4 linked regions of the Stegostoma tigrinum genome follow. The protein of the gene in region 4 interacts with the protein of the main gene of each other region in a pairwise test. Links are inferred from orthologs where the notes say so. Each region holds a gene or a part of one and is shown on either strand. Other genes may lie near its edges. The genes, in order: cep170aa, girdin-like, centromere protein F-like and nuclear distribution protein nudE-like 1.

Region 1 (7,928 bases), on a different chromosome or scaffold from region 4:
ATTGTTCTCTTTATACTACACCACCAAGCACTCTCTCTCTTTCCTGTATTCTGTCTCATCATTGTTTGAGATCTAGTCTACAATGGTGGCGTCTTCAGCAAACATGTAGATGGAGATAAGAGTAAATTTGGTGACACATTCATGAGTGTACAGGGAGTACAGTAAGGGGCTGAGCACACAGTCTTGTTGGGCGCTGGTGTTGAGGATTGTCATGGAGGTGGCGCTGTTATCTATCCTCACTGATTACACACTGTGGGTCAGGAGTTCAGGATACTGTTGCAGAGGGTGGAGCAGAGACCAAGGTCTCAGGGTTGAGATTAATTTGGTTAGAATTATAGTGTTGAAGGAGAATTGTAGACAATAAGTAGAAGCCTGACATAGGTATCCTTGTTATCTAAATATTCCAAGGATGAATGCAGGGCCATGGAGATGCTGTGTACCATCTGTTGAGACTGTAGGTGAATCGCAATGGGTCAAGGCAGGCTGAGAGGCTGGAGCTGACATGAGCCATGACTAACCTCTTGAAGTGCTTTGTAATTATGGAGGTCAGAGCCACCACGTGGTAGTCATTTAGGCATGTTAAATGAGTCTTTTTTGGTGCTGGAATGATAGTGATCTTCTTGATACAAGTGGGGACTTCAGATTGTAGTAAGGAGAGATGAAAGATGTCAGTGAACACTCTAGGCAGCTGGACTGCACAGGATCTGAGTGCGTGGACTACTCCATCTGGGCCAGTCATTTTCTGTGGGTTCACTCTCCAAAAGGCCAATGTGAAATCTGCAGCATAACTGATGAAACAGGTGCAGCTGAGGCTGTTGGATTAGGTGACACCGTTTTGCTGAGGCTCTGTTTCAACTGAGCCTAAAATGTATTGAGCACATCAGGGAGAAATGTATTTTGTCCATTATTCTGTTATGTCACGTAGGCCTTACCAGAAACTACAGGTACCCATGTGGTTAGTTTTGCTCTCCAACATAGTCTAGTATTAGTTCTTGGCATCTCCAGTGGCCTTACAGAGGTCAAATCTGGATTTCCTGTGAAGATCAGGGCCGTCTGACTTGAACATTACATACTTGGTCTTTATTAGGCAATGGAGTTCCTGGTTCACCCATGGTTTCTGGTTGGGGAATATATGGATTAACTTCTTTGGCATACAGTCCTCTACACCCTTGCTAATGAAGTCCATGACAGTAGCAGCATACTCTCCTGGGGGCATGGCTGCTGAGTTCTTGAATATGGGCCAGGCCACCAATTCCAAGCAGTCCCACAGAAGCTCTTCCGTTGCATCGGACCAACACTGTGCTATTTTCTGTACTGGGTCCTTATGTTTCAACTTCTGCTTAAAAGCCAGGAGGTAGGACACAGTGTTGCGATCTGATTTTCCAAAGTGCAGACAGGGTATAGAGCAGTAAGCACTTTTGATGGCTGTGTCGCAATGGTCACGGATATTTGGCCCCCTGGTGGGGCAGAAAACAGGTTGATGGTATTTTGGTAGCACCTGCAATGTTGGCCTCATTAAAGTCACTGACTACGACTGAATTGGGCCTCGGGGTATTCCGTGGGTAACAAGGTGGGTAAATGGAGTTGAGGTGATTAGCAGAAAACATTGAGGAGTTGAACGGCTTACTACTGTTACTTTTTCACAGCACCAAATTTTAACAATAAAAAAATGCAATTCACCAAGGCTGGACAGCACTGAGCAGTCTAGCAATGCAGAACAGTGATAGAGGGCTAGTTGAAAAGGTACAGCCAGGAGGTGGCAGCTGAGTTAGTTCTCCACATGTGTATTTGGAGAAAAGATGGTGGGAGCAGGGCCAGGAGTTTTTGAAGATAGAAGGGCAGTAATAGAACTAAGGGCAGAGGAGATGCAATAACACCTGATGTGGTCCAGGTCTGCATTCACTGGATGTTAGAAGAATGACACTGGACTTGATTGAAACATAGGGGGCTTGACAGCATAGATGCTGTGAAGTTGTTGCTCCTTGTGGGAGAGCCTAGGACCAGAGGGCATAATCCCATGGTAAGGGAGTATCCATTTAAAACAAAGCCAAGGAGAAATTTCTTCTTTCAGATTTTTTTTTTAAAAAGCTAATTCACTGGTTTGCTATGATGAGGAGGTGCTGGTGTTGGACTGGATGGACAAAGTCAGAAGTCACATGACACCAGGTTATAGTCCAACATGTTTATTTGAAATTAAGTCTCTTCACCTGACAAAGGAACAATTCTTTGAAAACTTGGAGATTTCAAGTAAACCCGTTGGACTATAACCTAATATTCTGACTTCTGACTTTATTTGTACCATAGACAGCCGTAGCTTGTTACGTATGTTCAAGGCAAGAAATAGATCATAATTAGTAATTCATAATCAATACTTTTGGGGACAAGGCAAGCAAGTAGAACTGAAGACTATCAAATCAGCTACTTTTCCCACCAAATAATAAAGCATGATCGATGGATTGAAAGGCTAACCTTTGCGCCTACATCTTATGGTTTTAGTGGTCTAGGTTTGGATGAGAAAACCTGTTGTGTTATGCATGAAGGACCATAAAGCAGATGAACAATTTTTTTTGGTATACGTCTAATTTCCTTCTGAAAATTACAATTGAATCTTTTTATTCTGCCTTCATGTTTAACTATAAGTCATATGACATGGGACCAGAACTAGGCCATTCAGCTCATCAAGTCTGCTCTGCCATTCATGGTTGAGATGTAATCTGCTATAACCTGGAATGAACTGAGACGAGGAGGAATTTCTTCAGCCAAAGGGTGGCTAATCTGTGGAAGTTATTGCTGCAGCAGGTCAAGTTATACAGAGTATTTAAGACAAAGATAGATTGGTTCTTGATTGATGTGGAGATCAAAGGTTATGGGAGAAGACAGGAGAATGGTGTTGAGGAACATCTCAGTCATGACTGAATGGCAGATAAGAACTAGTGGGCTGAATGGCCGAATTCTGCTCCTCCATTTTATAGCTTATAATTAAACATGAAAGCAGAACAAATGCAGATTCAATTGTAACTTTCAGAAGAAAATTGGATGTATACCAAAAAAACTGTACAAGAACAGAATGAATTACACAAACATAGTAGACTGCATGATCCATGTCTGCACTGTATTTACCTTTCACCCTTAGGAAACAGGTATTAGTCCACATTGGGAGATGAACTAAGTTATGGAATACCAATGGTTTTACTCAGGTATCAGCATGAATACTGAGCTGCGGTTAAAGAAATTGTGGATATGTAAGCATTATAGTGAATGGGAAGCCAAGGGCGAGACAACTGGAATGGAGAAAATGTAGTTGTGAGCAACATAGGGTGCATGTTTCTTTTCCGCCCCAGGAGCAGATACGTAAATAATTGGAATTGAAAAAGCAAATAGAAGGAGTTGAGGCTGAGCAATGAGGGACAGGAGAGGCCATCAACAATGGCAAAATCAAAATGGGAGTTGTAAGTGAGAGTGGGATTGCATTCTGGACAGGACATTCCTGAGCTAGCAAAGTCGTGTGATGATCAGCTCGTTCCGGTATCACATTAATATAAACTGTTTTAAGTTCATACATTTTCAAAATGTATATCTTTATTTTCGTAACTCCATTACCACTGTAGATTCGCCCAATGGCTCAAATGAAATCAAGTCGACAAACGTTTCACTGCAAATGACAATCTGTTATCGTTGCATGGCGAATCTCAGGAGTACTGAACGTGATTCACAAATCAGTATAGAAAGATTTTCAGAAAAAAGGGTCCCAACCCGAAACGTCAGCTTTCCTGCTCCTCTGATGCTGCCTGGCCTGCTGTGTTCCTCCAACTCCACGCTTTTGTTATATCAGACTCCAGCAGCGGCAGTTCCTACAATCACGAGTCTTTGTTTTTTTTTAATATTCGTATTTTGTAGACAGAAAGGAGGGCAAAACAGTTGTTCCTCATAACTGCAGTGCTTTTAATTTAAGCACTCTTCAAAATCCACATGCCAGTATATTTCTCATCGGAGTCCATGGGGCGTTTGCCCCCCAAACAACATGTAATTTCAGCAGTTCCAGAAAATTCACCAAACTTTCATCTCTACACAGTTAACAATTTGATGCAATGTGAGTACACAGGAGCTGTTTTTTCGAAGGTACAACTTATCAACAAATACAGATGTTACAACAAGCCTTGGAGACCAACCTCGGCCTTGCTTATCCGTGCCTTTAACTGACAGCTGTCTCCTATAAACAAGCCTGCCCCTTCGATTCGGTCGTTCGCTTACCTCTTAAACCTTTCAGATACGTCTCTAAATCGTTCTCGATGTTCGACTCGCAGGAGGCCTTCATGTTGTCCGATCATACAGCGAAAGGTTAGAAGTACCTCTCGATTAAAAAAAACAACGTTGACAGCAAAACAGAAAGGTTGATAATTGGAAACGCTCCGCACGGCTTTGGTTAAACTCCAGCGCCGCTGAAAGGACGCTGCCCCTGAACCAATCAGCACCGAATTCAAATTAAACTTTGGGCTTCCTTTCACCATAGAGACATCAGGTTCAGCGAAGGAGGAGTCTCCGCAGCGAATGCTGGGGTTTGTATTTCTACTTGAGAGTCAATGCTGTCGGCAGGAACGGAGCATTGGACGGTCGACAGGATAGGTGCCGAAGGCCAAAGGAAATACAATTCCCAGAAACGCTTGCGGGAGAATCCGGGTACCTGCCTTTATTTCTTCCCGCCCTTCCTTTCATTCCAGAGATCTACACTTTCGATCCCACCCTGTGAAAGCCCCCGACAGCCGCGGTTGGCGCGGTGACGGCATGCTTGCGGTTGCGATTGGTCAAGAACTCCGTCAATCATGAGGGGGTGTTGGCTTCGCCGAGATGGAGCCTCAGGCTTTTGGACAGTGGCTATGGCATGTGGTGCTCTGCGCATGCTTCAAACAATCTCTTCCCCCCCCCACCCAGCGCCTACCCGTCTATTCTGCTCGAGCGGCCGCTATGTGGAATAACGTTATTGCTGAGCAACGGGCGGGTTGCTGATGTTTGTCTGAGCTTCGGCAGGGCAGTTGCCCTGCTAGGGTGAGTATGCTATACGGAAATGCTGAGGTGATAAAGGCTACCGGTTTATGCGCTCCCGCCTTGGAGGAGGGGAGGATCGATTTTAGTATTTTGAAGTTGAAATGGAATAACGGTTCAAGGGATTGTGTATAAAATGCTGCTGGGTGGGGGAGGGGCGTCTCGTAGAAGTGACCATCCCGCAATCGCCACCTGACAGGTCGCGGTCCGTGGACTTTTTCATGGGCTACTTCTTTCAAGCTATTATTTTGGATTGTCGACATTCCCACCGTTTTTCATTTGAAACGAGTGGCAGCTGAAAACGAGAAGGCGTTTGGAGGTTCAAATGGCTATCCATTTTCTTTTATTCATTTGGCTCCTCTTTCACCCTTTACTAATATCCCCTTTCCTCCTCCTCCCCTCCCAACTGTGCTCCTCGTTCCTTACTGTAAACTATTCATACTATCTTCCGAATTTAGTCTAAACGGCATGCCGAGATTTAATGTTCTTTTGCATTTCACTCCTCCCCTTAATTTAATGGATTTTAATCAAGATTTCTTTTAAGTGAAACGCTTTCTAATTAACATGTCAGTGGATCCGAATGAGTAGTACCCAACCGGTGAACGATCATGTCGATGCATTTTTTCATGTTTCTTTTTGTTACCTCGAACAAAGGAAGCTTTGGGGTACACCACGGAATTTCATCCGAAGGTCTGCATCTTTTTTTTTGTCGATCGTTCGAGATATTCAATACCCGTAGAAATTCCCTTGTTTTCGGTGAAGCCGACGCGTCTTAATGATTTAACCAATTCCGCTCTGATTGTTACACAAAATCCAGTAATGCAAAAGTAGCATAGCTGGATAGGGACTATTAGCAAATTTCTGGCACACTGCCAGTGTAGTGAGGGCATTGCAAATCTTGTGGAACAGACTAGCCATCACTTCTCGTTTTGAAACGTAATGATTAGATTGTATTACATTATTGGCCTTCCTGCATTAGAAGCCCAGTAAATTCATTTATAAAATTCTTCAGAAACGTTTCACAGGAAATGTTTCCTGTTCCTGTACATTCCCGCTAAGGGAATAGGGTCACATGAAACTGGCTGGAGTGTTTCCTTTTCGGCTTTCATTTCAGCAATGTGTTCCTTTCCTCTGTGCTTTATATCGACAGACTTTTCAAGTAGGTTGAGTCCCATTCGTTTCTGTAAGACGTGTATTTTAGTATTTTTGACAGTGAAACAATGCGTTATTTTGTGGCCCTTTCAAAGGACGGAGCAAGAAGGAAACCTTTATTTTACTAATCATAAAATGGAAGTTGCCGTGCTGGAACTTTTCAGTGTTGTTTTTTTTGTGATAAATCTTAACTTGGAACATTATTAGATTTCTTTCTGCAGCATAAGTAAGACAGACCATGGAAACTGAAAACTATATGGTCTCATCTGTATATGTATCAAAAAGCTGTACAGGACCACAAATAGCCTGAACTGTAATAGACTAATCAGTTGAGGACAATCAACTGAGTCTTAAGTAAAAATTTGTCCAGTTTGAATTTTGTGAATCTGGAAGTCTAGCAGAACTAGTAAATTCTAAATTAAAATACTTCATTCTGTTTTTATCTGTAACTTAAAGATGTTCCCAAATTAATCGTACCATTGATTGAAATGTGATTTTATCAGTTAGATACTTGCCTAGCCTCCTTTTGTAACCTATGGAATCCGCCTCCACCACTCTCTCCAAGTAGCACATTCCAAATTCTAATAACTGAATAAAGAAGTTTTTCCTTGCTTCAGTCCTAGCTCTCTTGCTGGCAATCTTGAAATTTTGACCCCTATTAACTGAACTTTTGCATTGTAGACTAAAGTTTATGATAATTATCAGAGATAATGGGAACTGCAGATGCTGGGGAATCCGAGATAACCGTGTGGAGCTGGATGAACACAGCCGGCCAAGCAGCTGCTTGGCCGGCTGTGTTCATTATTTGTGATAATTATCCTTCTTTCTAGCTCAATCTTTTTTTGCTTTTTGTACTTTTAATACTTTTAACAGATTCTTAGTTAAACTGAAAACTGTTTCTTCTATTCCCCTTTTTATAAGCATGATTTTCCAATATGTTTCAATTTTTAATTTGAAAATGAAAGAAAACAGGAAAGTGCTACACAGAATGGCTAGAATCAGTGGAAAGAATGAGAAACAAGACAATTTACTGTAACCTTTGCACCAGCAGTCCTTGGTTGACTGTCTTTCAGGAGTGACATTTAAACATTAGTGCATCTGCTTGTTCAGGTGGATATAAAAGATCCCATGACATCTTTTCAGAGAAGAGGAGTTATCCCTGATGCTTTCCAGCCAGTGTTTATCTGTTCGTAACCAAAACAACTTCTTCAGCCATTATCATGTTTGTGGGAGCTTGTATGTGAATTGGTTGATGGGTTTTCAACCTTTACAATATGACTGTACTTCAGAAATACTTGATTGACTCCGATAGTGGTATTATTGATTAAACTGTTAATCCAGAGGTCCAGATAATGTTCTGGGGACCTGGGTTCGAATCCAGCCATGGTGGAATTTGAATTCAATAAAAAGAATTATCTGGAATTAAGAGTCTAATGATGACCATGCATCCATTGTTGATTGTTGGAAAAACCCATTTGGTTCACTAACGTCCTACAGGGAAGGAAAATGCCATCCTTACCTAGTCTGGCCTGCATATGACTTCAGACCCATGGCAATGTGGTTCACTGTTAAACTGCCCTCTGGGAATTAGGGGTGCTGCCTAACCAGCAGCGCCCTTGTCCCATGAATGAATAAAGGGGAAAAAAATTGCAAGATGTTTTTTGACTGGGTTCGAGTTGTTTAGGTTTAAGAGGGACGGAAGTTTGGATAAACTGAAACTTACAAAGAGCACAGGA
Region 2 (7,425 bases), on a different chromosome or scaffold from region 4:
TTCTATCCGCCTCCGGCTCTGTCCCTATTTATTTCAGAACATCCTTCCCCTCCCCAATTTCTGAAGAAGGGTCTCGGCCCGAACCATCACCCTTCCTGCTTCTCTGATGCTGCTTGGCCTGATGTGTGCATCCAGCTCTTCACCTTGGCATCTATGTTAGACTGGTTAGCAAAGATAGATCACACAGAATCCAGGAATAACTAGCCATTTGGATACAAAATCGACTTGAAGGTCAGAAAAAGAGTGTGGTAGTATATGATGGTTTTTCGGACTATATGCCTGTGACCAGTGGTGTGCTGCAACGATTGGTGCTGGATTCACTAATTTTGTTATTTATAAAAATGATTTGTATGTGAATATAGGAGGAATAGTTAGTAAATTTGCAGATGAAACCAAAATTGGTAGTATAGTGGACAATGAAGAAGGTTATCTCAGAGTACAGCGGAATCTTGATCAGATGGGCTGATGGGCTGAGGGCCGGCAGCTGGTGTTTAATTGTGATAAATGTGAAGTGATGCATTTTACCTTAGATAATCAGGAAGGATTTATACACTGAATGTTAGGATTCAGCTGAGTAGTGCCAAACAAAGAGAACTTGGGGTGCAGGTTCATTGTTCTTTGAAGGTTAAATAACAGGTAGACAGGGTAGTGAAGAAGGTATTTGGTACACTTGCCTTTATTGGTCAGTGCATTGAATATAGGAGTTAGGGAGGTCATGTTGCTGCTGTACAGGACATTGGTTAGGTGACTTTTGGAATACTGAGTGCAATTCTGGTCTCCCTACTACAAGAAAAACAATGTTAAACTTGAAAGGGTGTAGAGAAGATTTACAAGGATTTTGCTGGGTGTGGAAGGTTTGCACTGTAGGGAGAGGCTGAATAGGCTGGGGCTATTCTCCCTGAAACATTGGACGCTGAGGCAATAACCTTATACAGGTATATGAAATCATGAGGGGCATGGTTAGGGTGAACAGCCAAGGACTTTTTCCCAAGTAGGGAAGTCCAAAATTAGAGGGCATAGGCTTAAGTGAGAGGGGAAAGATAAAAAAAGGGACCTGAGGGGCAACCTTTTCTCAAAGAGGGTGGTACATGTGTGGAATGAGCTGCCAAAGGAAGTGGTGTAGGCTAGTACAATTATACCATTTAAAAGGCATTTGGATAGGTACATGGCTAGGAAGGGTTTGGAGGGATATGGGCCCAATGCTGGCAAACAGGACTAGATTGTTTAGGATATCTGGTCAGTATGGACAAGTTGGACCAAAGGGTCTGTTTCTGTGCTATTCAACTCTATGACTCTATAACAATACTATTCCTACTCTTGCCTGATCCTCTTAGTTGTTACAATACTTGCCAGAATCTCTTGTAACTTTAATCTAGTTTGCGAAGTGTTGTTCTCTTTCAGTGTCACTCCCAATGGTCAGTTGATTTTTGCCTTTGCTTGCCGGTCACTTCCTCTTCATCTCCAGATGGTCTAAAATTGATTTGAAAGTAAGACCTGTTTTTAAACATTATTGGGCAGTTTTCTGGAACTTTCTATAGCTCTGATCAATCAAGGAGACTTACTTAATGGTTTGAAACATTGTCAATCATTTGGGTGGCTTGCTTATATTTGTTTCTTTGTGTAGCAGGTGTCTTTTTATCTGAAAATATGCATTGCTGCTTTCCATAGAATCCCTGCAATGTGGAAACAGGTCCTTTGCCCCATCAAGTCTATACTGACCCTCAGAGCATCCCACCCAGGCCCATTCACCAAACCCACCTAATTTACACATCCCTGAACACTATGGACAATCAACCTAGCCGGCACATCTTTGGACTGTGGGAGGAAACTGGAGCACCCGGAGGAAAGCCATGCAGACAAGGGGAGAATGTGCAAAGTCCACACAGGCATTTGCCCGAGGGGGAATTGAACCCGTGCTCCTGGCACTGTGAGGCTGCAGTGCTAACCACTGATTCACCATGCCACTTTGTTTAGTTGATATTTTGGGAGGATTTTACTGCATAGGATAACTGATGATGATGTGTGTCAATGAATATGGAGCTGGAAAAGCACAGTAGGTCAGACAACATCTGAGGAACATGAAAGCTAGAGTTTCAGGTTGAAATCCTTTGTTAATACGGCTGGGAAGGATGGGGGGAGCCCGGAAATATATGGGGGTGCGGTGTGTGACTGTGGGAAGGTTAGGTAGATGGAGATAGCTGGATGCTTCAGAATGTGGATGAAGAACTTTAAAGGTGTATCTTAAAAGGCGTAGAATGGTTTGTCTCCAGTCACATGATATACTGTTATTTATTGTATTATAATTCCACTCCCATACTTGTTTCTGCTAATGATGTGCTGCGTTACAACAGATCTGCGCTTATATCTGCACATATTTATGAAAGGTGGAATGGCACCTCGTGTAATAGAACTGGTTAATAAACTTGATTACAAAAGATTTGTCCAATGGTTTTGTTTAGTATCAGGGCAGAGGAGACAACCAGAGTGTTGCAGTGGGAGATGGACTCACTGAGCTCTCTTCGGAGGGAGGAGGAAATCTTCTTCAAGGTGGGCATCAGGAAAGTCAATGTTTCAGGTCAAAATAATGCCATTAGTACCTGGCTGCTGTGTTTGCATTGTGTCTGGTTTCTGGGTTTGCAATTTGTAGAGCCTTACTTTGCCACCATTCCCTATACCCAGTATCCCTTTCGGCAAGTTGGCAATTCACTTGTGCTTTAGCAGCCATGAGGGTGATGGGAGAAGATGTTCCAATCTTTCCCTTCAGCCAACCTTGTCACCTGGCAGTGCATTGAGACTACAATAAATGTATATGCCGTGTAAATCAAGAGGTGTTAACAGTACTGTAGACTACAGACATTGAATACCTTTCCCACCCAAATACAGTTTCTTGGAATTTGCTATGTACAAGTTGGCAGCTGCACAAAAGTGATTCCAATGTGAAGTCATTTATTGCCTATGAAGCATTCTGAGATGATTTGTGTGAAAGGCACTGCATGAATGTAAATTTTTCTTCCTTAAAGCACATGTATTGTGTATGGATGTGGGAAAGAGATGATGACCTAGAGCTTAAAAGGATAGTGGAAGCAGAGATGATCAATGATTTGGAAAGGAAATTAGATTGACACTGGAGTCTGAAGGGCTGTGGAGATAGCATGGGGAAGTAGACCTTGTATTATTCTATAGGACATGATTGTCTAAATGCTCCTTCGGTACTGTAATTTCTCTGTAGCTTTGGTACGCTTGATTGTGGCAAATAGTATTGATACATTTAAAGGCCAAATTAATGCAAGAGGGAAAAGGGACTGAAATATATGTTGACAGGGTGGGATGATTGAAGTGAGGAGGAGGTTTGCTTGAGACATGAACATTTCCGTAAAGTAAATGAGTTGAATGGCCCGTTTCTGAGCAGTAAATTTCATGTGAATTCTTTGTTATGCAAAATACGTTTTAATAATGCAAATAATTATTTTTAAAACCTTTACGAAGCATGAAAATATTTACTTGCTCTCGAAAAATTTCTGAGATAGTCGGTTGCAAATAATTATAAATTGGTTCAATATCTTTAAAGGTGTAGAATGGTTCGTCTCCAATCACATGATATACTGTTATTTATTGTATTATAATTCCACACCGGTACGTGTTTCTGCTAATGATGTGCTGCGTTACAACAGATCTGCGCTTATATCTGCACATATTTATGAAAGGTGGAATGGCGCCTAGAGTAATAGGTTAATAAACTTGATTACAAAAGCTTTGTCCAACGGTTTTGTTTAGTATTTCCGCTTTAAAGGAAAGAAGACTTGCCCTTCTCCCTATTTTTATGTCTTCCTTCGTCTTCACAAATCTGGGTGCTTAAGTTAATTCAACTAAACTGATTATAATTGATAAAATATTTGAAAGTCTATTAATATGAATATCATAATAATTATCGCGTGGAAAGTTTCCGTGGTAATGTTACGTTTTCCGCACCGTTAGGCGTCACTATTGATCCTTCTTTGTTTATGGAGCACGCATTATATTCGATCTGTATAACTTTTAAATGCAGCCTTTTCTCGAAAAATATCATTCACATGACTATAAATCCGAGTAAACCTCAGTTGCATAACATACAAATTCTGAAAATCGCAAGCATATGACCGAATTAAATCGATGGAGCACAAAGTAAAACATTTTTATCACTAATAAGTATTCGAACATTCTTCTATATATCAATGGGTACAATACAAATGATCTTTTATATTAATGGCGAACATCACTCAATCTTTCCCTAATCTACAAAACGCTCACGAATGGAGAACTTATTTTTTTCCATCTAAGCCTCCTGCAGAACAAGACGGCGGAACGATACATTTTGGGCGGGGCGTGGCGGTTTTATATCTCGATTTAACGATAGTTGTATGGGTGAAGAGATCTTTGTGTTGGGTGGTGATGCGGTTTCGTTGACTGATGTTCCATAGCCGTTAGTCGGCTCGTGCTAAAACTCAGTATATTGAGGAAACGTGTGTGGTGATATTTGAAATGCCGTTGGAAATGTTGGCGTTTATGTCTGAAACCTCAGACTGCAATCTTCCCTCTAACTTTAATCTTTTCCTTTAAAACAAAAGGTAGACGATTATTCGGCGTCGATGGGAAATGAGTGTTCATTTTTTTTCTAATATTGAGTTTTGTGTTAATTTGTCAAGAGGAAAGATGATTGTGGTCTGAGAGCTTTCCATAGGAATTCGAGTCTGCTGCGGGAAGAAGGCGGTTTTCCGAAAGTGATGTAGGCGCTGTAATTAAAATCAAAATTTTGTGCTGAAAATGAACTTGGTGACGTATTGGTCGCTTTGCAAATGATCAAGATCTAAGCACCTCGATTTACTATGGATACTTCGAGATTGGATTTCACTTCCATTTAGGATGCTGAAAGTGGGAATACGGCTCCTGGCAACAACGGTGGATTTTACAGTTTAAGATAAACCTTTGATTTTTTTTGGTTTTTTTGAAAATGGAGACCGATTTTACAACGCTCCTTGAGCAGTTTATGTCTGATCCTTTGGTAACTTGGGTAAGCACTTTTGGACTTTCTTTCAGATCTCTTAAATCAGTAATTGCAATCGAAAGTGGCAGTTACAAATAGTAAATACGTTTACACTGAGTATTTTTTTAAAAAAATGTTAATCTCCACCCCTTTAGGTGAAGACTTTCGGGGCGTTAGCTCCAGCAAATGGAGGAGCACTTTTGGAATACATGGAGTTGGTTGATGGCATCTTCCTCAGTAACATCATGGTTCAAATGTAAGTATGCTTATTGTAAGAGTAGACCTACAGACTCGTCTTGTGGGGAAAAATTAAACGTCTTTGCATTTATTTTGTATTTTAAAATGCATGTGAGATTTTGAAAGATTTACACATCCAATTGCCCTGAATCCTCTCGATGAGACCGATATTCCGTCGAGAATTGGTGAATTACCTTTCAGTGGAAAGATATTCCCTACGGGCCAAGATCTAGTTCTGCCTCTTTTTTTTGTACTGTTTCCATGCCTCCCATTCGTATTCTCTCTGATTTCGAATAGTATGTATACAGGTAACAAAATCGGATCAAGCTGCCGGAGCATTTTATCGAACTCACAATTAGGATTAATAATAACGCTAAGATTCTGGGATTTTCTTTAATGGAAACTAACCGTTTCTCCAGCCTACGGCTTATTTATTTGCAATATACTATAATTATAAACATGTTCTGGTCTCCTGAATCCACTTGTAGTGTGACTGATGTTATTTGCAGTATGCAGTTGGACTTCGGAATTTTTAAGCTTTTTCACGTTCAAAGTTTTTTCAGTCGACTGTGATGCACTAATTTGGCGCATTTCATCAGAAAATACGGGTAGATTGCTTAACCCCATTTAAAAATTCCCATTTATTTTATGTGCCTACTTAACTGTATAGGTTAAACTCCTGCTGTATTATTGGGGGATGTGATGACCTAGTGATATTTATAGCTAGGTTATTAATCTAGAGACCCAAGTAATATCTTGGTCCTGGGTTCGAACTTCACAATGGCACATATTGGAATTTGAATTCAGTACGTGGAGATAAGAGTTTAATGATAGCCATGAATTCGTTGTCGACTGTCAGCACTAACGTTCTTACCATTCTTAGCTGAGAGATAATAGGAACTGCAGATGCTGGAGAATCTGAGATGTGTAGAACTGGATGATCACAGCAGGCCAAGCAGCATCTTAGGAGCAGAAAAGCTGACGTTTCAAGAAGGGTCTAGGCCCAAAACATCAGCTTTTCTGCTGCTTGGCCTGCTGTGTTCATCCAGCTCTACACTTTATTATCTACCACTCTTAGCTGGTCTGGTCAACATGTGACTCCAGACCCATGGCAATGTGGGTTGGCTCTTGACTGCCCTGTGGGTGAATTAGTGATGGGCAATAAAATGCTGGTCCAGCCAGTGATGTCCACAACCTGTGACTGAATATATTAAAAAAAATCATATGGAGATTGCAAGTGACATTAAATCATTTTTTAAAAAAAACCATCGAAGTTGCTAAGAATGTACAATTTCTTAAGGCAGTTGAAACAGGCTCTGAATTATTTTTAAAATGAATTAGAATTGATCTAAATATAGTAATTTATTCTATTGAATAATTTAGCAGGACCTTGGGCAATGTTTTCACACTGAGAGTGGTTTGTATGTGGAATGAACTGCCAGAGGAAGTGGTAGCTGCAGGTACACTTGCAACATTTTACAAGACTTTTGGATAGGCACATGATTAGGAAAAGTTGAGAGATTTGCCAAACATACGCAAGTGGGACTAGGGTGGCATGGTGGCTCAGTGGTTTGCACCACTGCTTCACAGCACCAGGGACCCGGGTTTGATTCCACCGTGGAGCAACTGTCTGTGTAGAGTTTACACATTCTTCCCATGTCTGTGTGGGTTTCCTCTGGTTTCCTTCCACAGTCCAGAGATGTGCAGTTTAGGTGGGTTTGATGGGGAAATACACGGGTAGGAGAATGAGTCAGGATGGGATGCTGTTCGGAGAGGCAGCGTGGACTTGTTGGGCTGAATGGCCTGTTTCCACACTGTAGGGATTCTATGATTCTAGTTCAGTTTGGGAGATTTGCTTGGCATGCACCAAAGGTTGACCAAAAGATCTGTTTTCACGCTTTGTCGCTCTGACAGAGAATAGTTAAAACATGGGACTTGTTAACACTTGGTTGCAATGTATGGAATAGATGCATTTAAAGGAGGTTGCAGAGGTACACAAAAAAGGATTGGACAATATGCCGATAATTCTAAACAGTGTGAATATCAATCCGGAATGGAGATTAAATGAGTAACTTAGAACTACACTTGATATGTCAAAACATGTACCTGTATTCTGTAGCATAATTTTGTAAAGTATTGATAGTTTGAAAGAATGACTAACTGAAGAT
Region 3 (7,361 bases), on a different chromosome or scaffold from region 4:
TATTTGAAAAGTATTCCAGTAGAATTTAGGCCAGTTAGGGAGTAGTTAGTAGTCTGGGGTGGAATTGTTTGGTTTATTAGTAAGTCTGTTAATTTGTTCACTGTTAGTGTTAAATAAGTTGTTACTAATAAAGTGTATATCAGGGATTTTCTTTCATTTAACCATTCTTTCAATAAATTATAAAGGTGAGGCGAGAGACTTTGTGTGTTTCGGGTTTAATTATTAGAAGTGAACCTCTATGCCCCGCCACAACAGATTGGGGGTTGTGTTTCTATTTATCAGAGGAGTCTGGCTTTCCACTTCTCTGTAACATCAGATATACCTAAAAATGAGGTGGTAGCCTGGTGAAGCCACATCACATGCCAAACTGCAGAGGACCATGCAATAGACAGAGATAAGCAGTCCCAAAACCAACCGATCAGATCTAAGCCCTGCAGTTCTGCTACATCCTGGCATGAATGATCGTGAACAATGAAACAATGAAGAGGAATAGGAGGCTCCACAAACAGTCCAATCTCAATGATGATCTACCCTCCTGAGGTCCCCAGTCCTACAAGTGCCTGTCTTCAGACAATTTAATTCATCCCACAAGATATCAAAAAAGAGTTTAAAGGCAATGCAAAGGCTATAGGCTTCGATTATATTGGGACTGACAATTTGTATTCCAGAAGTAGCCCCACCCACAGCCAAGCTGTTCCCCTCCAGATACAACCACTTATTTATTTGGCAATGTGGAAAATTGTCCTGGTATGTTCTTTCTACAAAAAGCTGTATAAATGTAACCTAGTCAATTACAGCTATGTTACTAGAATAGAAATAAAATCGTGCGGATGCTGGAAACCTGAAACAATCAGAGAATACTGGAGAAACTCAGCAGATGTAGCATTATCTATGGCCAGGGAAACAGAGTTAATGTTTCAAGTCTGGTATGAATGTTTTTCAAAAGAAAAGTCTTTAGATGTTCTGAAGAAGTCATACCATATGGTATGGTAACTTTGTTTCACTTCTACTCAGATACTGCCAGAACAGCTAAGTTTCTCCATCATTCTGTGTCTGAGATGATTCTCGATCATCAGCAAAGCAATGTAAGTGGTCATTGATAGTGCAATCAAGTAGCAGCACTTTTTAAAGGAACAGCCTGCCAGTTGATGCTCAGTTTGGGTTTAACCAACAGCTGACATCATCACAGCCTTGATTTGATTTGATTTATAATTGTCACATGTACTGAAGTACGGTGAAAAGTACTGTTTTGAGTGCTAACCGGACAAACTGTATCTTACATAAGTACATAGGGTTGTAGAACAGAATGCAGAATGTAGCGTTACAGCTACAGAGAAGGTGGAGAGAAAGGTCAACTCTAATATATAACAGATCCATTCATAAATCTGATAAAAGTGGGGAAGCTGTTCTTGAATCTGTTGGTATGTGTTTTCAAACTTGTGAGTCTTCTGCCCCATGGGAGAGAGTATAACTGGGGTGGTATGCTGGTTGCTTTCCTGAGCAGGAAGTGTCAGTCAAAGGAAGGCTGTTTTTTGTGATTGACTGGATTGTGTTCACATCTTTGTAATTTCTAGTGGTCTCAGGCAGAGCAGTTGCCACACCAAGCTGTGATGCCTCGGATTGGATACTTTCTATGGTGCACCTATAAAAATTGAAGAGTCATTGTGGTTATACTGAGTTTCCTTACTCTTCTAGGAAGTACAGGCATTGATGTGCTTTCTTGTCTGTAGCATCGATGTGGATGGACCAGGATTGATGTCCAAACATTGACAAAAGAGCTGAACTCTAGGGTTGAGGTGAGAATGACTACCCTTATCATCAAGGCAGCATTTGACCGGGTATGACTTCAAGGAGCCCTTGCAAAACTGAAGTCAAAAGCAAATCAAATGAAAAAAAAATACATGCTGGAGTGAGTCAGACCTAGCACAAAGGAATATGGTTGTATTTATCGGAGGTCCATTATCTCAGTCCCAAAACAATATAAAGGTATTATTTTAGGCCCCAAGATTGTCCACTGCTTCATCAGCCACCTTACCCCCATCAAAAATTCAGTCAGATATTTGCTGATGGTTGCCCTATGTTCGATACCATACGTCAGATAGTGAAGCAGAACATTTTCAAATGCGACAAGACATGGACAACATCCAAGTACCATTTGCATCACAAAAGTCTGAGTCAATGAACATTTTGAATAGGATGGAATCTAAAAATCTCTGCATCTTGTAGCTTAGTCACCTAAGATCTTTTCAAAAGCATCTTTGAAACCTGTGATCTCTACCACTTAGAGCTACAACAACATCAAAAATGTGACAACAATGCTAACTGCAAATTCTCTTCTAAGCCACACATCATTCTGCAATGGAAGCATATCATAATTTCTTCATTGTTGTTGGGCCATCTTGCACTGTGGGTGTACCCACTCACATGCTTTGCAAAGGTTCAAGATGGAAGCACACTACAATTTACTCATAAGCAATACTGGCCTGGCCAGTGAAGCTTCTATCCCATAAATGAAAATAAAAAGGAAAGTAATGAAAAAAATTGTTTCTTTGGATTAGAACTGGCAGTCAGGAGATGTGTGTCCTTATTTGGGTGATTAGCTGGAGTGCATATTTTAGATGGTACCCATTGTACGACTGTGCATCAGTCGTGAAGGGAAAGGATGTTGAAGTGGTAGATGGGATGCTCGTAAAGTGGGCTAATTTGTCCTGAGTGATGTCAAGCTTCTTGAATGTTGTTGGAATTCATCTATCCAAGTAAGTGGAAAATATTCCATTACATCTCTGATTGGTGAATTGGATATGTAGGATGAGCAACGGCGGAGGTGAGTTGCTTGCCATCTAATTCCTAGCCTCTGACCTGCTCTTACAGCCACATTATTTATGTAGATAGCCCAGTTCAGTTTCTGGTGAATGCAAGCTGCGCGATCCAGAGATTTTTAGATTCCATCTTGTTCAAAACAGCTACTGACTCACACTTTTGTGATTAGAGAATGATACCAATTTAAACCTCTGTCACAAAATGAATAACCATACCCACGCCAGGCAGGTTTGCTGTATTCTGGGCAATAACAATCCCAGGCTATCTTACTAATGGTACACCTAGAAGGTAGGCCTGTCACTAATTGTTGGAATTCTTTGCAGTCAGTCTCCCACTCTCACCCAGCATTCCAAGGCTGTATTCATCTTAGTTGGTGTCGATAATCTGCGACATTTTAACTGGTTATATTTGAGCACCCTGGATCCTGGCAGTTGCCAATATCTATCTTTTGATAAATGACACACTGATGAACAACCAAAAATGTTATTCAAAGATTCTTGTTTTAAGAATTATTAAAGGTTAAGTGTTTTGAACACCCCACTGATTGAGAATAAGACGTCAGTTTGCCACAACAAAGTGATGGAATTGACAGGCATCTCCAACCAGCTGTAAAAAGCACATCCTTGTTCCTGCCCACCAGGTAATAAAATACAAATTAGTAAAATTGTTCCTAAAATTTGTCATGTAGCAACATAAATCCTATATCCTTGCCTGAAGTTCAACATTACATAATTGATGGAAGATTGGAACAATTCGAGTAGAGAATTCGGAGAGCAGAAAGCATTTTTTTTAAGACAGCAAGAAAGCTCAGCTTGGCCAAAAACTGTTCATCAATAACAAAAAAAAGTTTATTTCATCATTGTTACACACTGATCCAGATTCAATCATTTTGGCAAAATCGGGATGCTAATGTGTGATGCCAACACAAAGGCAGATGCATGGGGCAGAATTGAAAATTCCCAGATAAAAACAAAATGCTGGCTGCTGGAAATCTGAAAAAGAAACTGAAAATGGTGGAGAAACTCAGCAGATCTGAAGAACAGTTATATCGATATCCATAGATGTTGTCAGATAAGAACTGTTGAATTTCTCCAGCTCTTTCTGTTTTTATAAGAAATTGAAAAGGCCCATTCTCGTGTCATCATACCCACTTTTGATGAAAGCTGTAGCCTTTCTATTCCTTGAACTTAAGTATTTATGCTTCTCTTCCCGGCATCTTCAGTTGGAAATGACATCATAAGTTTGGAATGTACCTCGGCTGCAGGTAAAGCCCTTAGTTCTAGCTCAGGAATCCATTTCTCCGCCGGCACTGGGCTGACTGACCAATCAGGAGGCCGGGTCACGGGGACAAGTCCAACGGCTGCGGAGAGTCAGCCAATAGACAGAGGGTCTCGTGTTTAAATTTAAAACCAATCATACCTTGTAACCGTGGCTCGTCGCCGTCAGAGTTAGCCTATCAGAGGCGGGGCTAAGGGGGTGTTCCCGCTTTCTAACCAATAGGACAGCTCTATAGCCAGGCCGCTGCGCCGTTGGCTCGTGGAAGCTGTTGGTAAGCCCGCAGCAGTTTGAAATCGGGCTGTTGGTGCTGAAAGTGCTACTGGTTCTGGTGTGTGGTTTGATGTTTTCATTTCGGCGATGTCTTCGTGTTATTGTCGGTTTGCGAGCAAGGGGCGTGAAACGCTTGCTGCCTTTAGTTAACGCTTTTAGAGGTCGGTCGGAAAACTGGGAGCCGGGGATTTTCGCATCGCAACTGTCGTTTCGTGATCGCTCCATTTAAGTTAGTCCTTGCTATATGCCGAATCAGAGATCAGGCGGTGTATGCAAAGTCGTTTAAACAAAACAATACTGAGCACTTGGAAGTAGCGTTAAGTGTTCAGTTGCGAGGGTAGTAAGAGTGTAACCCCGTTCCAAGACAGCAAGATTAGTGAATGAACCAGTGTAGACTACAGGATGTAAAAGACACGTCCCAGTTTTAGATCCCTTTACTTAAGGGAGGATGTAAATGCGTCGGGCGGGGTTCCGAAGAAGGATTCCTGTGACTGGAATGGGAGGGTTATCTTATGAGGATAAGTTGGACAAACTGGGTTTATTTACCCTGGACTAAGGAGTGACTTGGCTGAAGTATGCATGATCCTAAATGGTCTTGACTAGGCGGACGTCGAAAGGATATTTCCTCTTGTCGTTCCCGTAAGAACGAGGGGTCACAGTTTTAAAATCGGGGTGATCCTTTCAAGAGAGCGATGAGGGTTCTTTCCCCCGCGGCGCCCCCCCCCCCCCCCCAATTTCCGGAGGGTTGTACGACTGTAACTCTGCCTTGGATAGGGTGGGATGTGGGTTATTGGATATTGTTAAGACCGCGTGGATATTCTTAGGTCGTGGGGGCCTCGAGCCTTATCGGGTTAAATGCGAACGTGGAATTTGTAAAACAGTAGATCGACATGATACGATAGACTGACTGAGCAAGCTGGAGAAACCAAATGATTTTTGCTCTTATTTAGTATGTCCCATTACTAAGCGAACCTATTGCAAGGCAGCTCCATTAGTAAGCGAGCCTAGGATTACTGGGCGAACCCAGTTGTAAGTCTTTGCAATGGGTACAATTTGAGATGTATGATAAAAGTATAAACCAATTAAAACGGCTGATACAAAAGAAAAATACTTAACAGTGGATCCAGTAAATCGTGAAATAAAATCTGAAATGCTGGAAGTATTCAACCTGTCAAACAATGTCTGCGGAGAAAGTGTTAACCTTTTAGGAGGAAAATAGAAATGCAAGATTTTTATACTAGTAATGGAGAAATTTGGTGTACCAGGAACATTAGGATTAGACTGCAATAGTCTGGGAGACTGGAGAGACTTACTAATAAAATTGATTGTGATAGAAATTTCAAAAGAGAATTCTGATAAGGAAGGAATCAGATGTGTGCGGGTGAAGCCTGAAAGGTTGCATAGTGCCTACCTAAATGCAAACTGAAAGGATAAAAAGAGAAATAAGCTAGCAAATTCTCTCAAGATAAACTTGCAGGTTAGTAGTCATAGTCAAGAAGGCAATTGCAATGTTGGCATTTATTTTAAGAAGACTTGAATATAAAAGCAGGGATGTACTACTGAGGCCTTATAAGGCTCTCGTCAGGCCACTTTAGGAGTATTGTGTGAAGTTTTGGGCCTCACATCTCAGGAAGTACGTACTGGCCCTGGAGTGGGTTCAGAGGAGGTTCCTGAGAATGGTCCCAGGATTGGGGACCTTAACGTGTGAGGAATGTTTGAGGACTCTGGGATGATACTGATTGGAGTTTAGAAGGATGAAGGGGGAATCTAATTGAAACTTTCAGAATACTGAATGGCCTGGACAAAATGGATGTTGGGAAGATGCTCCCATTGGAGAGAGTCTAGGACCTGCGGGCACAGCCTTAGAACAAAGGGAGGCTTTTAGAATGGAGATAAGGAGAAACTTCTTCAGCCAGAGCGTGGTGAATCTATGGAATTCTCTGCCACAGAAGGCTGTGGAGGTCAGGTCATTGAGTACATTTAAGACTGAGATAGATAAGCTCTTGATTATCAAGGGCTACAGGGAGAAAGCAGCAGAATGGGGTCAAGGAACTTATCTGCCATGATTGAATGGCAGAGCAGACTCTATTGGTTGAATGGCCTAGTTTTTGCTCCAAGTCTTACGGACTTATAAAAATAAAACAGAAGATTATCTCAGAGCAAGCTAGGGGCAGAAGTTGGCTCCTATGGTGCAGTGTTCGTGTCTTTCTGGATTTTTGAAGACCCAGCATCAAGTCTCAACTCCTAGATGTGTGTGTCACTGATTAGAAATACTTACGATGTAAGGTTGAGTACTCATTATTTAATACAGAAGAAGGGGGGGGGGGGAAAGTAACTGTAGATGGTGGTAATCCTGGAAACGAAATCAGAAATTGCTAGGAAAGTTGCAAGTCTGGCCACATCTGTGGACAGAAAGCAAGAGGTGATGTTTCAGGTCCAGTGACCCATCTTCAGAACTGATTGTAGCATTGAAAAGATTGGTACGAGAGGTTATATGCTACCAAAATGAAAAGTGTTCTTGCTTGAGCTTGTATTGCAATACTGCAGCAAGCCACGGACGTAAATGCCGGAGTAGAGAATTCAAATGATGTAAAGCCCAGTCTTTTATGAGCACTGAATGTAAGTATTCCACAAAGGTTCACCCAGCCTATAAAACAAAAATTACTGTTGCTCAAGATCTGAAACAAAAGCAACTTGCTGGTAGTCAGGTCTGGCAGCATCTGTGGTGAGAACGCACAATTAACTTTTGAGTTCAGTGACCCTTCTTCGAAACAGTCTATTTTTGCCTGTCCTTGTTGGAGAGGACACCAATGTTTTTGGTGCCTTGGATGATGTAAAAGGAGAATGCAAAAAATGCATAGGAAGTGAGGTAGTGTTGGGAATGAGTCAGTGTTGAGCTAGCAACAATTCCCGTAGAAAAGACGAGGCTTCTTTTCCTTGAAGCAGAGAAGACTGAGAAGAGATATGATGAAGTGAATAAAATTGAGTGGCAT
Region 4 (7,220 bases):
AAGTCCACACTGACCCTCAGAGCATCCCACCCAGAACTATCCCCCTACTCTACACATCCCTGAACACTATGGGCGATTTAGCATGGCCAATCCACCTAGTCTGCGCATCTTTTGACTGTGGGAGGAAACCAGAGCCGGCACATGCACACTGGGGTAGAACATGTAAACTCCACACAGACAGTTGCCCAAGGGTGGAATTGAACCCCAGCTCTTGATGCTGTGAAGCAGCAGTGCTAACCACTGAGCCAACAGGCCACCTGGAAATGTGGGCTTGAACCTGAGACCTCTCGCATGTCAACAAAATACAATACTCTAAGCAAAAATCATAAACATAGACCAATGAGCCACCTCCAATGCAGTGGAATATTTCATAACTAAATTACTTATTATGTCCTGAAAAAAATTGAACCAAAGTTTGAAACTTTGATTAAACTGTATTCCTTTAATTAGCCTCTAATGAGTTTTGAAACAGTTGATTTTTCTGTTATTCCCCTAGAAGTAAACATTCTAAAAGAAATAGCTCCTAGGAGTTGAATTATCACATGCATATCTATAAGGAAATACTGGTCCCCCATGTTTGGTTTTGGTAATAGTCCTGCACGGTCTTCTAACATTCTATTGGTTCTTCAAAAACTTGCCTGGGTATTAAAGGTACTGATCTGATTACATATTGAAGTCTTATTGAAGTCTTCCTACAACCTAATTTTCATATGCTTTACAGAACGGTACTATGTCTTCACAACATCATGACCAAGTAAAGTAACTGTCGTCAAAGCTTGAGTTTTCCGTGTGCCTACATGCATTGCCATAGGAATTTTATGAGCTACTCGCAATATTTCCTTACTAAATCTGGGTGGTGTCACTATTTGATGTTCAACCATCCATCCTTGTCAGCAGGTCTGTGAGGATGTTTCCATTTACTCATCAGAACTACATTTTTAACAAAAGTAACTTTGAAACTCCTTTATCCTCAGCTTCAGAGTATGCTAATTGAGTTAAATTAGTTTAACTGTGCCTACCTCCAGATCTGCTATCTGAGCCTGACATACTAAACACTTTTTGAATTGCCTCTTTCTTTAAAGAATGTTTTGGCTACTCTAACATTTGCTTGTGACCAGACGAATCACCAGTTCGTCTGGTGATGAACTTTGTTCAACCATTGTTCTGGTCATCAAGTTCAATGGAAAAATACCTGGAGCTTCTACCTGTAACTGCTCTGTCAATTAGACTTTCTGTGATTATAGGCAAAACTATAACTTTCACTTAAGTCAAATAATTACCCAGTAAATGAACTCCATCCAGAGGTAATTTTAGAACAATTCCCATGACTACTGCACCGAGCAATAAGTTACATTCTAAGTGCACACTGAACAAAGGAATGCGCATGTACTTTCCACTGATCCTGTCTATTAAGATGAAAGGTCTAGGCCCGAAACGTCAGCTTTTGTGCTCCTGAGATGCTGCTTGGCCTGCTGTGTTCATCCAGCCTCACATTTTGTTGTCTTGGATTCTCCAGCATCTGCAGTTCCCATTATCTCTGTCTATTAAACATTTGGCTTTCTATGCATTCTTTGGGATGGAGCTATGTTCTTGTCTGGAAAAAAAGTGTTTGTACAGCTCCTGTGTCCTGTAATATAGTTACGACCTTAGATGTACTGTTTGAAGAAAACTAGGTGATCTTTCCTTTTAACAAAAAAATCCTTCTTAACTCTCACCTATCTTAATCACTTCTCCAGCACTCAAAGCATTCTCCTAGTTATAGTTAAAGCTATGCTTTGATTTAAGTGTTTTCCTTCTGAGTTCCTCTGTCAGACTCACTCTTATGAATCCTAATGTCCTGTGGACTTCCCATGCAACTTGCAGCATTCTGAGCAAAGGTGTTCCACTTTGTTACAATGGGAATACTTATGCCAACAACTCTCATTTCAGCACCTTCGGTTCCAGTTCGTGAAAGAATTCACGAGGGAATTCCCAGATGTCCCTTCTTTAGCCTAGTTACTTGCCTTCCTTTCATTGTCCCACTTTCTACCATTTGGGGTTTTATAAAGATGACAAAAAAAAGGTTTGGTTTCATTGATCAACTTGTAATTATCAGCCATTTCTGCCGTCTGTCTCATTGCTCCATGCATACTATAAAACAATAGTATTGGAAGCAACTAAAACCATTCTGCAGATAGATGGTGCAACCTTGACTGATTTAACAAGTCTTAACCTAAGGCAACAGCATTAGTTGTTGCAAACAAACTAAAAGTGGAATTTCCAGTAAAAGCTTAGGAGACATAATTAACATATTGATACTGCATTTAGCACAGGTAGAAATACAAGAAGTACTGGGTACATCAAGTGATGAGTCACTCGGTTTAGTGAGAATTCAATTGCAGCTGAGACAGCTTGTACATGAAAAAGGACTAAAACAAGTTGAAAGGAAAATGGGACTGTCAATATTTAAAAACTAGACCAACAAAGAGATGTTGAAATTTTCTTGAAAGCAGGTTCTAATGACTAAAGGTGGTAAGTTTTGAGCTCTTCTAAGAAAATAATTTCTCTGGGAGCTTCATGGATGGTATTCACTCCTAATGCTTGTATCCACTTGTCAAAATTATTTTACATTGCCTTTTCAAATCCAGTGTAAGTTTCCACAGGCTGTTTCCTTAAATTTTTAAACTTATGTCTGCAGCTTCAGGAACTAACACATATACACCCAGAATAACATTTTTTAACTACTTCATAATCAAAACTTCTGACAATGATGCATAAATCTCATGAGCTGTACCTGCCAACCTGCTCAGTATGGGCAGTGTCCAGTTTTACTTCAACCATGACATTTATTTTGCTACTATGTCACATGATATGAAGAATGACTCATCATTTTCTTCAAATCTCAGCAGGTCTGGCAGCATCTGTGAAGGAGAAAACAGAGTTAATGTTTTGGGTCCGTTGAACATTAACTCTGATTTTTTTCTTCACAGATGCTGCCAAACTTCCTCAGCTTTTCCAGCAACTTCTGATTTTTGCTCCTGATTTACAGCATCTGCAGTCTCTTGGTTTTTGTCTTCTACCCATTAACTCCATCTGGACTTCCTGCTGCCTCAGAATGGAAGCCAACATCATCAAAGACCCCTCCCAACCCAGTCATAACCTCTTCCAACCTCTTCTGTCAGGCAGAAGACTCAGAAGCTTAAACACACATACCAATAGATTCAAGAACAGCATCTTCCCTACTGTTATTAGACTTCTGAATGGACCTCTCAAATTTCAAATCTGACCTTGATCTTGTTTTTCGTGCACTGTCTTTGCAGCTGTAACCTTGTTTACCTCTCTCTGTTCAAACACCCTGTGATTCTTTGTATGTTATGATCTGCCTGTACTGCATGTGAAACACTGTACCTAGGTACTAAAAACAATAATAAATCAAACCAAATCAAATCAATTCAGACCTAGAAACAACTAGCAGGTGTTTTCCTGATCTTCTTGCCCTTTCTGTGCTGCAGATGGTCAATCATAAGGGGTAGGCATGTCAAATGAAAACAAAAGTTATGGGCAATTCCTTTGACTACTGGACAGAACACAACATAATTCTGAAATATGTCTTTATAAAACAATCTATAATCATTGTAAGAAATAATGGAGGCATTAAATATAGAAAGACTTACTTGTAGGACATAAAAAGAAATCAGCAGGAAGGAAGGGTGACTTTAGGAACTGTTAAGATGGATCAGTCCTATCGGATTGAATTACCAGTTTGTACCATGTACAGGAATGTAAAGGAAGTAGAAATTGATTCCAAGTTTATGGGTAAACAGCTTTTGAAAGAGGACTGTTCCAAAGTTGGTTATCATCTAAGTAGTGGCAATATGACTGAAAGGAAATCTAGATAATTATGAGAAATATTACAACTAGGAATTCAAACTTCACTTGATCGACTGCACAGATATTTACTAACACAGTGACACCTGGCAATATGGATGAAGGCTACAGTCCTGAACCCACATTCTTTTTTGGCACAGAAAGTAATTGTCTGGAACCATGCACGTCACAAAATGTGGTTACACAGTAACTGGAATGTTCAGTCAGATGCTGCAAAGAATGTTGTTCATTAGGTGGGAAAAACCTGCTTAACAACAAGTAACTGAGACTTGCTTTATAGGAGTAGGCGATGGCTCCAAATTTGAGAAAGTATGTTTTTTTTATGTTTGCATTCAAGTTCTTACTCAAGATTATAAAGATAAAAGAATTACCATTTGAGCAGGTAAAATGCCATTGGAACACCACTGAGGATAACAGACGAGAAATGTGATTGCGCCTGACCAATGGACAGGGATCAACAAGGACAACCTGGGACACTGACAAAGGGCCAAAGGTAAGTCTGGGCTAGGGGATGGTGAATGCAAGTTGTGAAAGGTAGTGTTTCTGCAGCTTCAGTGTGCTGCTGTATTCTATCCTCACTGCACATTAACATAGAATTTATTTGAGATGTTGTTTTCTGGGAGCAAATGCCAGCACACGTTTTCTGGGAATGAAAATGGAGTTTGCTGTAAAATGAGTACTAGCCAATTCAGTATCTGCCTATTTTGAACATTCCCTGCACCTTTAAGAATTTAAACAGAACAATGGGAGCTCAATCTTGTAATTTGTATTTTAAAGTGTTACTTTGACGCATGATATGCATGCAGTTCCCCACCCATTACATTGTAGCTTTTGAGGATGTCTTCAACATGTCTTATTTGCAAAATGACAACATAGTTTTTTGCAACAGTTCTTCCTTTGTCGAGCTTGAGAAGCTACAATATGTGGGCAGGTATAGAAGGAAAGTTACTTGTAATATGTTTATTGACAGTTTTTATTGATTATTAACCTGGCACCTTCATATTTCTGGTACCTCTCTGTGAGGAAAACATCAAAACACAATGCTCCATATTAATTCTTTTTCAACGCTTTGCTCACCTAAATAATATCTTGCGCTTTGGGTTTTTTCGTAATTCCACTTGACTTTGAAACTGGCAGCTGGCCTCACTTGGGTGCCCAACCAATTTAGCTGTTCAATTAAACTTCTCAGTTTCTCCATTTCAACTTTAAAGCCACTGTATCTTTCTGTGAGGCCCTACTTTGAAAAATGGCAATGCAGCTAACATTTTACAAATAAGATTACTGATGCAAAATGACATTTGATCCATTCTGCCTGATTTCCAATCCAACGTATTTAAAATCCCCAGATTCCTGAACTGCAATTTTGAATTCTGTTTTAAGACATTTATGATAATATTTTTGATAATTTATTGAAATAATTGAACCTTTACGATGATATTTCTCACTACTCTTCATCTCATAAAAAAGACTGTGCCGGGAAGTTGCTCGTCATGATGACAGTAAAACATGGCAGCATCTTTTGTTTTATTTGCTCGTAGAATGTGGCCATTGCTGGCTACTCTGCATTTTTTGCCCATCTCAAGTTGCCTTTGAGAAAGTGTTGGTCATCTGCCTTCTTGGATTGCTGCAGTCCACATGCTGTAAATAGACACATGATGCCATCAGGGAGGGAATTCCAGAATTTTGACACAGCAACACAGAAGGAGAGGCGATATATTTCTTAGTCAGGATGATGAGTGGCTTCAAGGAGAACTTGCAGATAGTGGTATTCCAATGCACCTGGTGTGGTCATGGGCTTGAAAGGTGCTGCCTAAGGATCTTTGGTCAATTTCAACAGTGCAACTTGTAGATAGTACACACTGCTGCTACAGAGCAAATTGTCTCTATTCGTGACAGTCATTGCCCGGCATTTGTGTGGTGCAAATGCTACTTGCCACTTGTCAGCACAAGCCTGGATATTGTCAGAACTTGTTGCATTTGAAGATGGACTGCTTCAGTATCTGAGGAGTTGCAAACAGTGCTGAACATTGTGCAATCATCAGCGAACATCCCTAGTTCTGAACTTTTGACAAAGGAAAGGTCATTGGTGGCACAGTGGCTCAGTGGTTAGCACTGATGCCTCACAGCACCAGGGATGCAGGTTTGATTCCAGCCTTGTGCAACCAGCTGTGTGGAGTTGGCACATTCTCCTGTGTCAGTGTGGGCTTCCTCCAGATGCTCTGGTTTCCTCTCACGGTTCAAAGATATGCAGGTTAGGTGGATTGGCCATGCTAAATTGTCCATATTGTCTAGGGTAGGAAATGCAGGGATGGGATAGGGAATGAGCCTGGGTGGGATGTTCTTTGGAGGATTGGTGTGGACTTGATGGGCTGAATGGCTTGCTTCCACACTTTAGGGATTCTATGCTTCCATGAGGCAGCTTAAGTTGTTTGAACCTAGGACACCACTCTGAGGAACTCTTGCAGAGATGTCCTGGAGTTGAGATGACTAGCAATCACAACCATCTTCTTGTGAGCTGGGCATGACTCGAATACACAAAGTTTGCTCTCAATACCCACAGATTCCAGTTTTGTTAGGGCTCCTAGGTCATCCACTTGATACTTTTGGCTGAAGATTGCTGTGAATGTTTTAACCTTATATCTTTTGTCCTTATGTGCTGGGCACTTTCATCATTGAAAATTGAGCTATTTTAGAGCCTCCTCCTCCATTCGTGACTAGATGTGGCAGGACTGCAGAGCTTAGAACTGATCTGTTGGTTGTGGGATTGCTTAGCTCTGTTTATCACTCGCTGCTTATGCAGTTTGGCATACATGTAATCCTGTATGGTGCCTTCATTAAGTTGACACCTCATTTTTAAGTATCACTGGTGTTGCTCCTGGCATGCCCTCCTGCACTCTCCATTGTACAGGATTGATCCCCTGGTTTGATGGTAATGGTTGAAAGGGGGTATGCCTGACCATGAAATTACAGATTGTGCTGGACTATAATTCTGCTGCTGTTGATGGCTCTCGGTAGTTCATGGATGCCCAGTCTTGGGTCGCTAGATCTGTTCAAAGTCTGTCCCATGTAGCACGGTGACAATGTGATTAACATGATATTCTCAACATGAAGGTAGGATAGTATCTTGTCTCCTCAAGGACTGTGCGGTGGTCACTCTGACTGATACTGCCATGGACAGAAGCATCTTCAGCTGGCAGATTAGTAAGGATGAGGTCAAGTATATTTTTCCTTCTTCTTGGTTCCCATACCACCTGCCACACACCCACTGTAGCAGCTGTGTACTTTAAGACTCAACCAGTTGTGCAGCTGCCAAGCCACTCTTGGTGGTGGGCATTGAAATCCCCCACCCAGAG

Evidence for each region.
Region 1: the proteins of nuclear distribution protein nudE-like 1 (region 4) and cep170aa interact in a two-hybrid assay, tested with the Homo sapiens proteins (2 studies listed by BioGRID and IntAct). The link is inferred for Stegostoma tigrinum from reciprocal best matches to the Homo sapiens genes NDEL1 and CEP170.
Region 2: the proteins of nuclear distribution protein nudE-like 1 (region 4) and girdin-like interact in a two-hybrid assay, tested with the Homo sapiens proteins (2 studies listed by BioGRID and IntAct). The link is inferred for Stegostoma tigrinum from reciprocal best matches to the Homo sapiens genes NDEL1 and CCDC88A.
Region 3: the proteins of nuclear distribution protein nudE-like 1 (region 4) and centromere protein F-like interact in binary tests that used the Homo sapiens proteins (3 or more experiments, as listed by UniProt). The link is inferred for Stegostoma tigrinum from reciprocal best matches to the Homo sapiens genes NDEL1 and CENPF.

The regions. Positions count from the first base shown.
Region 1 is NC_081362.1:83,728,951-83,736,878, reverse strand, and holds the start of cep170aa (centrosomal protein of 170 kDa), read left to right. Parts: upstream 1-4,926; 5' UTR 4,927-5,043; intron 5,044-5,340; exon of another isoform or gene 5,341-5,359; intron 5,360-7,928. Other genes in the region: sdccag8 (serologically defined colon cancer antigen 8 homolog), read right to left, coding at 4,252-4,315.
Region 2 is NC_081362.1:46,459,255-46,466,679, forward strand, and holds the start of girdin-like, read left to right. Parts: upstream 1-4,413; 5' UTR 4,414-4,987; coding exon 4,988-5,047; intron 5,048-5,175; coding exon 5,176-5,276; intron 5,277-7,425. UniProt on the Homo sapiens protein: Bifunctional modulator of guanine nucleotide-binding proteins (G proteins). Acts as a non-receptor guanine nucleotide exchange factor which binds to and activates guanine nucleotide-binding protein G(i) alpha subunits.
Region 3 is NC_081362.1:57,085,406-57,092,766, forward strand, and holds the start of centromere protein F-like, read left to right. Parts: upstream 1-4,343; 5' UTR 4,344-4,426; intron 4,427-4,429; exon of another isoform or gene 4,430-4,597; intron 4,598-7,361. UniProt on the Homo sapiens protein: Required for kinetochore function and chromosome segregation in mitosis. Required for kinetochore localization of dynein, LIS1, NDE1 and NDEL1.
Region 4 is NC_081375.1:37,843,208-37,850,427, reverse strand, and holds the start of nuclear distribution protein nudE-like 1, read left to right. Parts: upstream 1-4,212; 5' UTR 4,213-4,360; intron 4,361-7,220. UniProt on the Homo sapiens protein: Required for organization of the cellular microtubule array and microtubule anchoring at the centrosome. May regulate microtubule organization at least in part by targeting the microtubule severing protein KATNA1 to the centrosome.